Linked DNA regions of Drosophila melanogaster. Changing the gene in region 1 together with any one later gene gives a genetic interaction. Each region holds a gene or a part of one and is shown on either strand. Other genes may lie near its edges. The genes, in order: cyc and Clk.

The links.
Region 2: of cyc (region 1) and Clk, changing one suppresses a phenotype caused by changing the other (phenotypic suppression), as found in Drosophila melanogaster (one study listed by BioGRID).

What each region holds. Positions count from the first base shown.
Region 1 is NT_037436.4:19,813,256-19,818,013, forward strand, and holds cyc (cycle), read right to left. Parts: upstream 2,684-4,758; 5' UTR 2,520-2,683; coding exon 2,500-2,519; intron 2,241-2,499; coding exon 2,166-2,240; intron 2,007-2,165; coding exon 1,552-2,006; intron 1,482-1,551; coding exon 1,052-1,481; intron 996-1,051; coding exon 734-995; 3' UTR 515-733; downstream 1-514. Other genes in the region: fibp, read right to left, coding at 2,948-3,026, 3,091-3,276, 3,338-3,406, 3,465-3,565, 3,616-3,748, 3,805-3,912, 3,976-4,294, 4,362-4,440 and 1 more. UniProt on the Drosophila melanogaster protein: Putative transcription factor involved in the generation of biological rhythms. Activates cycling transcription of Period (PER) and Timeless (TIM) by binding to the E-box (5'-CACGTG-3') present in their promoters.
Region 2 is NT_037436.4:7,772,353-7,777,651, reverse strand, and holds the start of Clk (clock), read left to right. Parts: upstream 1-2,048; 5' UTR 2,049-2,156; intron 2,157-5,299. UniProt on the Drosophila melanogaster protein: Circadian regulator that acts as a transcription factor and generates a rhythmic output with a period of about 24 hours. Oscillates in antiphase to the cycling observed for period (PER) and timeless (TIM).

The DNA.
Region 1 (4,758 bases):
GCTTTTGTCCAATAAAACGTTCACTGGTTGGGAAGCCAAGGTGTCAGAGCGTCCGTATGCCACGCCAGCTCTATGCCAACTGATTCCGAACCCGAATCCAGCGAGCGAGAGAGCCAGAGGCATGCCCATACCCATACCCATGCCAGACCTATACCCAGACCCAGACAAACCCACGCGCCTGGGCTGCCGCCTTTTCATGTGGGTCTATTGATAGTGCAAGCAAAAAAGTTGAGTGAAACGAAAAACGGGCGAAAAAGCCCGTCTCAGTTGATAAATCAAACACACACATGTCCGTACATATGTACATATGTACACATGATCCACACCATTTACCACAAGTAGTTATGTGCCCGAAGAAATTCGAGCAGCGATCACGTCCAAAACGTGCTCGGCTAAGAACTATTTGTTGTTTGTAATCGAAGGCGACCGCTCTTCTCGACAATTCCAATCGCCAGAGAGCTATGTTGAAACCTTGATGGGGTAAAACTAGATTGTTCCCACGATAGCAAATGTTCTTATCTAAGCGAATCTCTTTTCAAGTTGTTAGTTAATTTAATTGAGGCGGTACAAAAATGATGGGCTTATCATTAGGTAAAGTTTGTATATCGAATATGGAATTTCAAACGCCGGCGCCAGCAACTCGATGCGGATGAAGATCTTTGGAGTGTATACAAATGTCGGATTGTAGTGGAATAAATAAAAGTAATGTTCCCCATCGGAACGTTCGTATGCCTTATAAGAACACGGAATTCTTGGCGATTATATAGTCAATCTCGCTCGTCCAGGGATTCTTGAAGGCCCGCCACTCGCTCTGCAGCTGAATGTAGCTGTTGTCCTTGCACCGGAAGCGGTAGACCTGAGTGGTCACCTTTTCCGGCACCTGCATCACCATCTTGTGAGACTCCATCAGCGCAGCGATGTCTTCGTTGTGGAAGTACTCGTAGAAGCTGGTGCCGAGGATCTCCTGAGGCAGGAAACCAATCACGAGGGTGGCACTGCCAAATAATTTAAGTCGAATCATCAGAAAATTAATGCCCATAATCGTACCTACCGCTGGTCTATGAACAGGAACTTGCCCTCGCCGGAGTGGCGCGAGATGAAGAGCACGTGCCGTATGTTCGGGTGATTGTCCAGCGAGGCGGGTACTGTGGAGTTGCGAACGTTGGGCGGAATGCGACCAATTGCCACAAGGCAGGATAGATTCGTTGTTTGCTCGTCGCTGTCGGCGTCCTGGTCCTCGTCCTTGATGGGTGTCCAGGACTTGAGGTAGCCCGTGCACTGGATAACCCGGTACTTGTGGCCCGTAGTCAGTCTGGACTTGCGCTTCGTGGAGCTCCGGGAGCTGGAGGACGTATCGGACTCCTCCTTGATCTGGTTGTTGCTGGCAGTGCGCAGCTTCATGCGGCAGAAGAAGGAGCGCCGGGCACCCGGACACAGGCGGCACAAGCTCTGTGGAACGTCGGTCTTAACGGGCAACATGGCTGCAGGTGATAACGCAAGGAGAAAACTTAAGTGACGTACTGAATCTCACACTTTCGCATGGCCACTTACTCTTCGCATCGATAAGCCTTTCCCTGGGACACTGTTCCAGTGAGGATAGCTGCTCCTTAACCTTGCCTATGTCCTTCGGATGCAGGACGTCGAACCAGCTCTGTCCCAGCAGGTCCGCTTGGGTGCTGTTCAGCACACTGGACACCGAATCGGAAACGTACAGGATGCGTCCTCGGTCACAACCCACCACGAACAGGAATCCCTCCGACGCTTGCAGGATAATCATCTTGAGCTCCTGGTCGGACAGGAAGCTAGGCCGGTAATCGGATCCGTTGAATGGATGTAAGCTGCCGCTGCCACGGATCCCTCGCAGATGCTGCACTGCCATCCGGAGCACAGTCAGTTTGTCCAGCTTTCGCTGCATCGCAAAGCACATGGGAATCATGGAGGAGAGCTCGTTGATGTACGTGTTCATCTTGTCCCGACGCCGCTTCTCGATCTCGCTGTGATTTTGCCTAATTAAAATAAATGATATAACGTTAAAATTATAAATGCATATGGATGCAGGAATCTGATTGAAAAGACCAATTAACTTTTCCGAAATAATCATTATTAGTCTTGAAGTCGAATAAATGGATATGGAATTAGTTAAGCCTGAATAATGTTTTCCGTACTTGCGATTTTCATCCGAGGTTCTAGCTGACTTCTCCTCGTCGTAGTTTTCATCTTCGATCTCCTCCATATTTTCGCTAAATCGAAAACAACAAATGGTGAATTAGAAAACAACCCCGATATTTAATCAACCAGTGTGGATTTCCCGTGTAACGGGCGTCAACTGTTGCTTCCTCTTCCCTTCACACCCACACGCACACCTGGCCAACTTGTATGAGCGTGTGTGTGCTCGTTTTCGCGATTGTGCGTTCGTGTGGGTGCTTAACGCACACACTTACAGCTCGTTTTTATGCAATGTGTATGTAATTTGCAATGCACTTTTCCAGTGAAACTCACCAGAACTCCTGAACTTCCATCGCCAATCGGTGACGTTTGCTTATGAAAAATTAAGCCCTTTCCGACGAAGACCTCCCTTTTGTTTGTTTACTAACATCGACTAGCATCAACGTCCCAATAATAACATTTAAAACGGAAGTTTGTGCAGGCCGACAATTTGTTGCAAGCTTTTCCTGCATCTTCAGCTTCGAAGCTGCAGTGTGAACGTGGCTGCAAAATATACCAGCAACTTTCGGAAGAATACCAAGGGAAACAAGCTTTTCGCTTAAAAATACCATTTGGCGCCAATTAACAACGGTATTTAAATATTTAAATATGAAACTCATATGAATCAATTTTCATTATTTTACTTTGGCTAGACAATCTGAGTAAAAATCAACACAAGTCGAAACAAACACAAACAAACAATTAAATACTATTTATATTTGATCCTTAGTTTAATCACATCTTAAATGTGATACATTTTATCCAAGCATATCGTTATGACCTGCATATAGCGATCCCAAAGACATCTGGTTTCTTGGTCCCTGCAAAACATTTAGAGTTGATTATCAAAAAAGTTACTTGATTAATCTAGACAAAAGTACCCACCTTGATATTTCCAGATCCAAAACGCTTTGCGTTATGGAAGCCAAAAATTTATTCACTTGCTCACGGTTCCAGCCATTCTGACGCCAAGGATCAATAAGCTTCTCACAGAGATCGACGAAAAGATCGCGCAGCTCCCGATTGCGATGCAAATTGCAGGCGATGGTGATCAGGGCGCGCCAGTAAGAACTGCAAATCAAAACAGATCAATAGTAAGAAAAGGTGATAATGTCGAGAAATAAGTCCTTACCGAAAGTTGCCATCCAGTTCGTGAAAGGCGCGCTCGAGAAGAACGGGTTTGAGGCGCATGCAGACGAGGCTAAATGCAAGGACTAAACTATATAATAGCTCGTGTGCGGTAGAAAAATAAATCTCACTGCTTAATCTCCTTTTCCTTGTCGAGTAGACAGCGCAACTCCCGCAGGTCCAAGAGAAACTCTTTGTCCATTTCGGTATCATAGTACTCCGGTCCAGTGTGCTGCATTTAGTAAATTAGTTTCGTAAGGAATTAGCAGAGCTAAGTCATACCTGGTAAGTATACGTCCAGTAGATCATGATGGCATGGGAGCAGGTCAACAAATCACTGAAGCTCAGGTATTGCAACTTTTTTTTGGTGGTTTCGAAACGCAGGCAGGCCAGGAAAACAATGCAGGCGTACTTTCTGTAAGAGTGAAAGGTTTAGCTTTTTGAAGTTCAATACATTGATTATATTCATACTTGGCTAGATCGGTGGATATGATGAAGTGTTGCTTGATGTTGTTGGTTAACGTGCCCGGCATTTCCTCGACTGCCTTAAAAATGCGTTTTACGTTGTCAAATTGTCGGCTGAAGAAGAAGTTGAAATATATTAGACTCTACTCTGCCTAAGTAGCGGCCAAATTTACCCACCGAACTGATTTTAGCTTGACGCACGTCTTCTCGGCCACCTCGTCGAGGTCCTTGCGGTAGCGGGACGACAGCTTCTTGCCAAGAATTTCGCGAGCCACCACATCATCGATGGAATAGTACTTCTCGGTGATAAGGTCACGCATTTGTGGCTCCAGCTGGAAGCAGGATTGCTCCATCAGTTTGGTGGGTGCGTTTAGGTATAGTTCAATCAGGGAATAGGTGCGGTAATGATCCAGTACATCCGATGCAATCAGGTCGCTGGGAGCGCCCATGGAGTGACCAAAACCCTTCTGTTTCAGATAGGACACCGCCTCGCTGGCTATAATTGTAAATCGATGGAGCCGTTTGACATGAAACAAGATTGCAATTGGGAGAAGAAAACTTACAGGAGAAGCCTTCGATCCATAGCTGGTAAATTTCTGGATCGATGATTGTATAATTACTTATAAACACATCCACATCGGCCTGTAAGCATTCAGTTTTACTATTTATTATTATTTTGGATCATCAGATAGTTACCATTATATTGCTAGAGTGACCGTTTTCTGAACTAGCTGTCCAATTGGATATATCGAAATGTATGTTAGAGATGAAACACTGTGTAGTTCCAACACAAGCAGCATAGTTTATTCTTCTCATGAATTTAAAACTTTTCCTTGAAAGTAATAAATCGTTCTTGTTTTCATAACATCAATATATCCTATTAATAAACAAGCGAAAATGTTTAGAGTAATAATGGTAAAACCAAATTCGGTGTGATTTTGAGTTTTAAGATCAAGTCAT
Region 2 (5,299 bases), about 12 Mb from region 1:
AATGGGTGGACTAATGTGTTAAGAATTTGAAATTACCTTTCTGTTGACTAATACCCTTTCACTATGTATACCCTCTGAACTATGTCCCTCTCTATAACACCCCTACTCTCTCTTGATTATGCTTAGGCTAACTAAATGATATGCTCACCTATATGAACCTATATATAAAGTGCTATACGCTAAATGCTTATTTCTGTATTCGTATCTGTATCTTCAGCCCGCATTCCTATTGAAGAGATAGCTTTGATATATCTTTGTAACATTAGCTAAAACATCTTTGTCTTTGATTTCTTCTACTTCTAAGCCGCATACTCATTTTGTTTATTCTTTTTAATCGTTCAAACTCTCCCTATAAAGCAAATCAATTTTAAAAACAAAAATTTGCTTTATCAGTCGGCACATCTTTGTCTTTGTAAATATCTTTTTACGGATAATCCATAAATTATATGTACATTTTCTACGCTAGTTATAGAACACGAATTTAATTTTCAGCTCAACACAAAATAAATAAATAAATCAACATTTTTTGTCAACAAAATATTTATGTAATTTTATACAAAATATACACGAACGTCTAAATTAAATCATCGTGTATTTACGTTTAGACACTAAATACAATACAATCCCAAAATTTGACATTATTTTTGTGTCTACTTTATATGAAGAAATTATTACATAATTCTATATGAAACAAAAAAAAATTTATAATATTTCTAAAATTCTTAAGATCAAATCAACAACATATTTTCTCTGTGTTTTTTGTGCTAAATTTTTTTTACTGGTACTTCTTAATTTAATAATGATGTAAAATAAAGAGGAAAACAATTAAAATATAAAATAAATGTGGAACATAACTATGGTTTTTCTTTTAACTTATAAAAGTGGTTGATAAAAAAAACTATTGAGTTTCAGTTTGACAACAAAGTAGTTCTGACTACACCTCTGCATTGCTGAATAGCTACATATATACATCCTGTGCGTTGCATAAACCTATAAAACTTTCAAATCAAATCGAGAAAATCTTGTAAATTGCAAATCGAGTGCTGAAATGTTACGTAAGCATCTAATAAATATCGAATTTCTGGTGCAAGCGGTTCGCGATTAGGCAATCATGGAATAAGAATCAGAATTATTAGTTTTCTGTGCTACCTTTGCAGAAAGTGAGGTCGTAGTGCTAGATTCGGAGCTGAATTCCAATTGAATTGATTTTGAAGATAAAATACGACAAAGGAATCAAAGGTAAGGGTCGTGGTTCACTATTGAATTCATACTAAAACTACTTTATATATGAAATATTTATTGAAATATGAGTTTGCATTAAAAAGCTAATGCCGTAGTGCTTTGGAAATTATTTGTGTGGATTAACAAAAGCTGAAATGACAGTTTGGAAGTTCTTTTATCACTTTCCATACTATAAGACAATTTAATTAGTAAAAGTTTACATTAAATTAAATGATTAAATATTAAAACAGTTTGTTTAGTTTTAACTTTAAATTATGTTTAACTTCTCTTATTATTTCAAATTATATTTCAGTTCGCCTCACGTTGCATGAAATGCACATATGATCTGTTAATGTAAGTTTATAGACATGAAGCAGTATAGATAGATCAAAAGATAGTTAGGGTATGTTGCACCACCTACCTAGTTTCAGTCTATGCCGACCTATAGTCAAAAACTCACCCCTGCCACAGACCTTGAACTTAAGTCGCGGACAAACAAAACCCGTTGAATCACCCCTGCGAGACCCCCGAGAGACCCTTATATCTGTAATCTCCAGACGGAATGCCAGAAACACGCGGAATATTGGACAACAAACAGAAAGGTTGAAAGAAAACTATATAGAAAAGCTATACTATCCGATCCGAGAGAGACCCTCTGAGCAGAGTGGCTCTGAGCGTGCTGATAGTTTGATAGAGCGATAGATAAAGACTCAACTCAGGTTCACGATCGGTGCAATTGAGTGATATGGCGGATTCTGAGTGTGGAGAGCATATTAAATAATAGCCGAGTGGCGGTGCTCAATCAGTCAGTCAGTCAGGTAGAGCTGGGAATGCTTGCACATATCGCGTATACGCCCCGGCCGGCAAAAGGCATTACAACAGACTTGTAGACCGACTGACTCTCCCGACCGATTCGGTTTCGTATCTTTGTATCGGTGAGAACGCTTCTGGGGACTCGCTGCTCACATTTCGATGCATTTCGCGGTTTTTCGTTTATCCACGGGCTTTTTGCGTTTGTAGTTTTTATTTTCGCCAGCTTAGAACTTGCAATTCTCGTGCATTTATTCAGTTTGAGTCCAGCAAGCGCAGCGTCAACGAGCGGATCTCTCTCTTTAATTTTCCGATTCGGGTTTTCGATTTATTCGCATTTTCTCCGGGTTTTTTTTTTGAGCGCGCAGTTATTGTTTTATATCGCAAGTACTTGGCCGATCTGAAGCAAAGTCAAGCCGTCTGCCGTTGATATTGTCTCTGCCTGTAACTCGATCGCATATTACACACTTTTCGCCTTTTCGGTTCTGTTTCGGATTTGAAGGGGAATAATATTTTTGTTTGTCTCCGTCTTTGCGCTTAATTAAATTGCAGCTTTCTTCCTTGTTTCTGCTGATATTGCCAAAAAAGTTTTTTGTTTTACCTTTTACCATAAAAGAAATTAAAGTGTTTTTGTTATTGGATATCGTTTTCTATATATTGGCGTATATATGTCACCAAGTGCAGAAGTATAAAAAAAAAAACGCGCAAAGCAGAACGGGAAAAGTTATTATGTAACTTTTAAAACACTCGTGCCATAAAAACAGGAACAAATGTGGAATAATTCTTGAAGAAACAAAGTGAAAGGCAGAGGAAAAAACAAAAGTGGATAAGCCGCCAAAGGCAATATATGGATAAAAATAAATAGTTTAAATAATAATGGGCGTTTTTAAAAAGCCAAATAAAAAAGTGTAGTTATATGTCAGTGATGTTGCAATAAAACACAAATACAAGTTTTCACAAGTTAAAAATTGATCTTAGTTAAATACTAAAGTAGTAAAGTTTTATTTAATTGAACAAGTGCATCCAAACTAATGTAGCTAAGATTCAATTTCGAAGTAAATTAACTACTTTACCTGCTAATTACCAAAGTTTTGCGCCAGATTCAAAAGATTAAATTACAAATCAGCTGCGGCAAAATTGTGAAGTGTGCAAAGCAAAAGTGGAGGAAAAAAATAAAAATAATAAAAGCAAAAGTGCATTAGGTAGAACATCCGCAGTGACAAAAATAACAGAAGAAAAATGCCGCGCCAAAAAAGATAAGGCAAACCCAAGGATGAGATACGAGCGAATACGAGTGAAGATACTTCTCGCTTAAAACAAAAGTGCATTCAACCAAAAAAAAATTGAAAACAAACTACCTGTGAGAGCGATTTTTCCACATACATATAATAAAAACTATAATTTTTTTAAAATGTCTTTAGATTTGGAAAGGTATTTTAATAATGTACTCTTTATTCGAATTTTGAATGGAGTTGTGTCGTTTGTTTACTCTAAAAGTTGGATTTCGTACCCAATATTAAAATAAATATAAAAATTAAAAAATATTTTTAGATATTGGTTTTAGTTTCATTCAGCAAGATTGATTGGATATTTTACGCAGTACACTATTTTCATTCCGGTGAATTCAAGATAAATAATATTGTTTGTAAGTTTTGCTTAATTACAAGAATTTCCAGTGGCTGAAACTAGCTAGGTAATTTGCTAGTCGCTTTGCAATCCAACTATTTCCATTTGTTTTATTTAAATTTTTTTTTTTTTGTTTTTTTTATTGTTGGCTGACAAGTCTCAGGTCTCGGATGTGGCGTCTTTTTGAGTTTTTGAAACGTCATCGTCAGCGTTTGACTGCCCCGAGTATCTGTGTGCGCCAGTCTATCTGTGTGCGTGTGTTCTGCTGCAATGGTGTGAGTACGCGTGTGCATTTGTGCAGTGGTGTGCGATCATGCGGTAGTCGCACACGCTCTCAGTAAAACTTATTTCAATTGACAACTAAAAAAACTATAGGCACATGCAAAAAGGTTTTAAACATTACAAGTGATACAACTTCGATTCTTGTTTTTGCATTTAGTCGAATAAATGGGGCACAATTACGAAACGCTACTTAATTTAATCTGCAGTCAGCTGCACTTTCTGGCCATTTTCGCTCTGGCTTGCAGAGCGTATACTTCATTTTCACTTAGAGCAAATATGGCTAGTTGTTGATACGGTGAGATAAGCAACTGATTGACAACTACTCCAGATCTATTTTTTTTTTTTTTTAACAATATTGAGGTAGTTGGAAACAAAGAACGAAAACTTAAGGAAAGCCTCTGGGTCGTTTTTTAATTAAAAGAACTTATAGAAAAATGCACTTAAATTTCTAATGACTAAAAGTTAGACACCCTTCATTTATATCAAAAGGAATAACCTAAAGAGAGCAAAACTTTGGACTGAATAAGTTTAACCTAATGAATTTTGTAATGGTATAGTGAGTTTTTGTCCACTTAAATGAAATCAAGTTAGTTTTTAATTAGTCGGAATTTAATCGATACTAAATAGAATTCATTTAAAATTTCCCCCTTAACGAAAATATTATTCAATTTCAATCTAAACATATTAAATCATTATAAAGATCGATTTATGTGATGAACTGATGATTTTAAGCAGACTGCTAATGATTCAGATACGTCAATTTATTATTAGATTGTTAAACGTTTAGGGAAAGGAAAATCCAAGATCCGTTTAGGGTTCTGTTTATAGAACAACAACTCCATGCTGGAAAACCACATAGAAGTATACCCCTTGAACACTATTAACGATGAACTCGGAATTGGTAGATTGTAATTAAATCCCGTCTCGGTAAAATAAGGGGGAACGAACGCCGACGAAATAAATCAATGAATGACTAGAGGTAAAAATAAAATAATAGTGAACAATTTAATTAAGTCAAGTTTAAGACAACAAACGCTAGAGCGCGACGAAAAGTATTACAAGTTTTGCGGAAAGAGAAATAGAAGGCGAGGAAGCAAAGTTGTACAACGGGTCGTATGAGTATTGGGTATTATCACTCACACACGGGCACTATGTTGTAATCGCAATGCAATTAGCATTGCCAAGCAAAAGCTCAAGTTCACTGACAAAGAAATCCAGAGACAGAGAGAGAAAGAGAGAGTGAGAGAGAGAGAGAGATATGGGGTGCACATATATAGGTAACCCACACATCGATAGTATGCGATAATTTCTGTAACTGAGCGAAGCTTTACAAATGCAATCAAATGACGTTAGTTCCCCG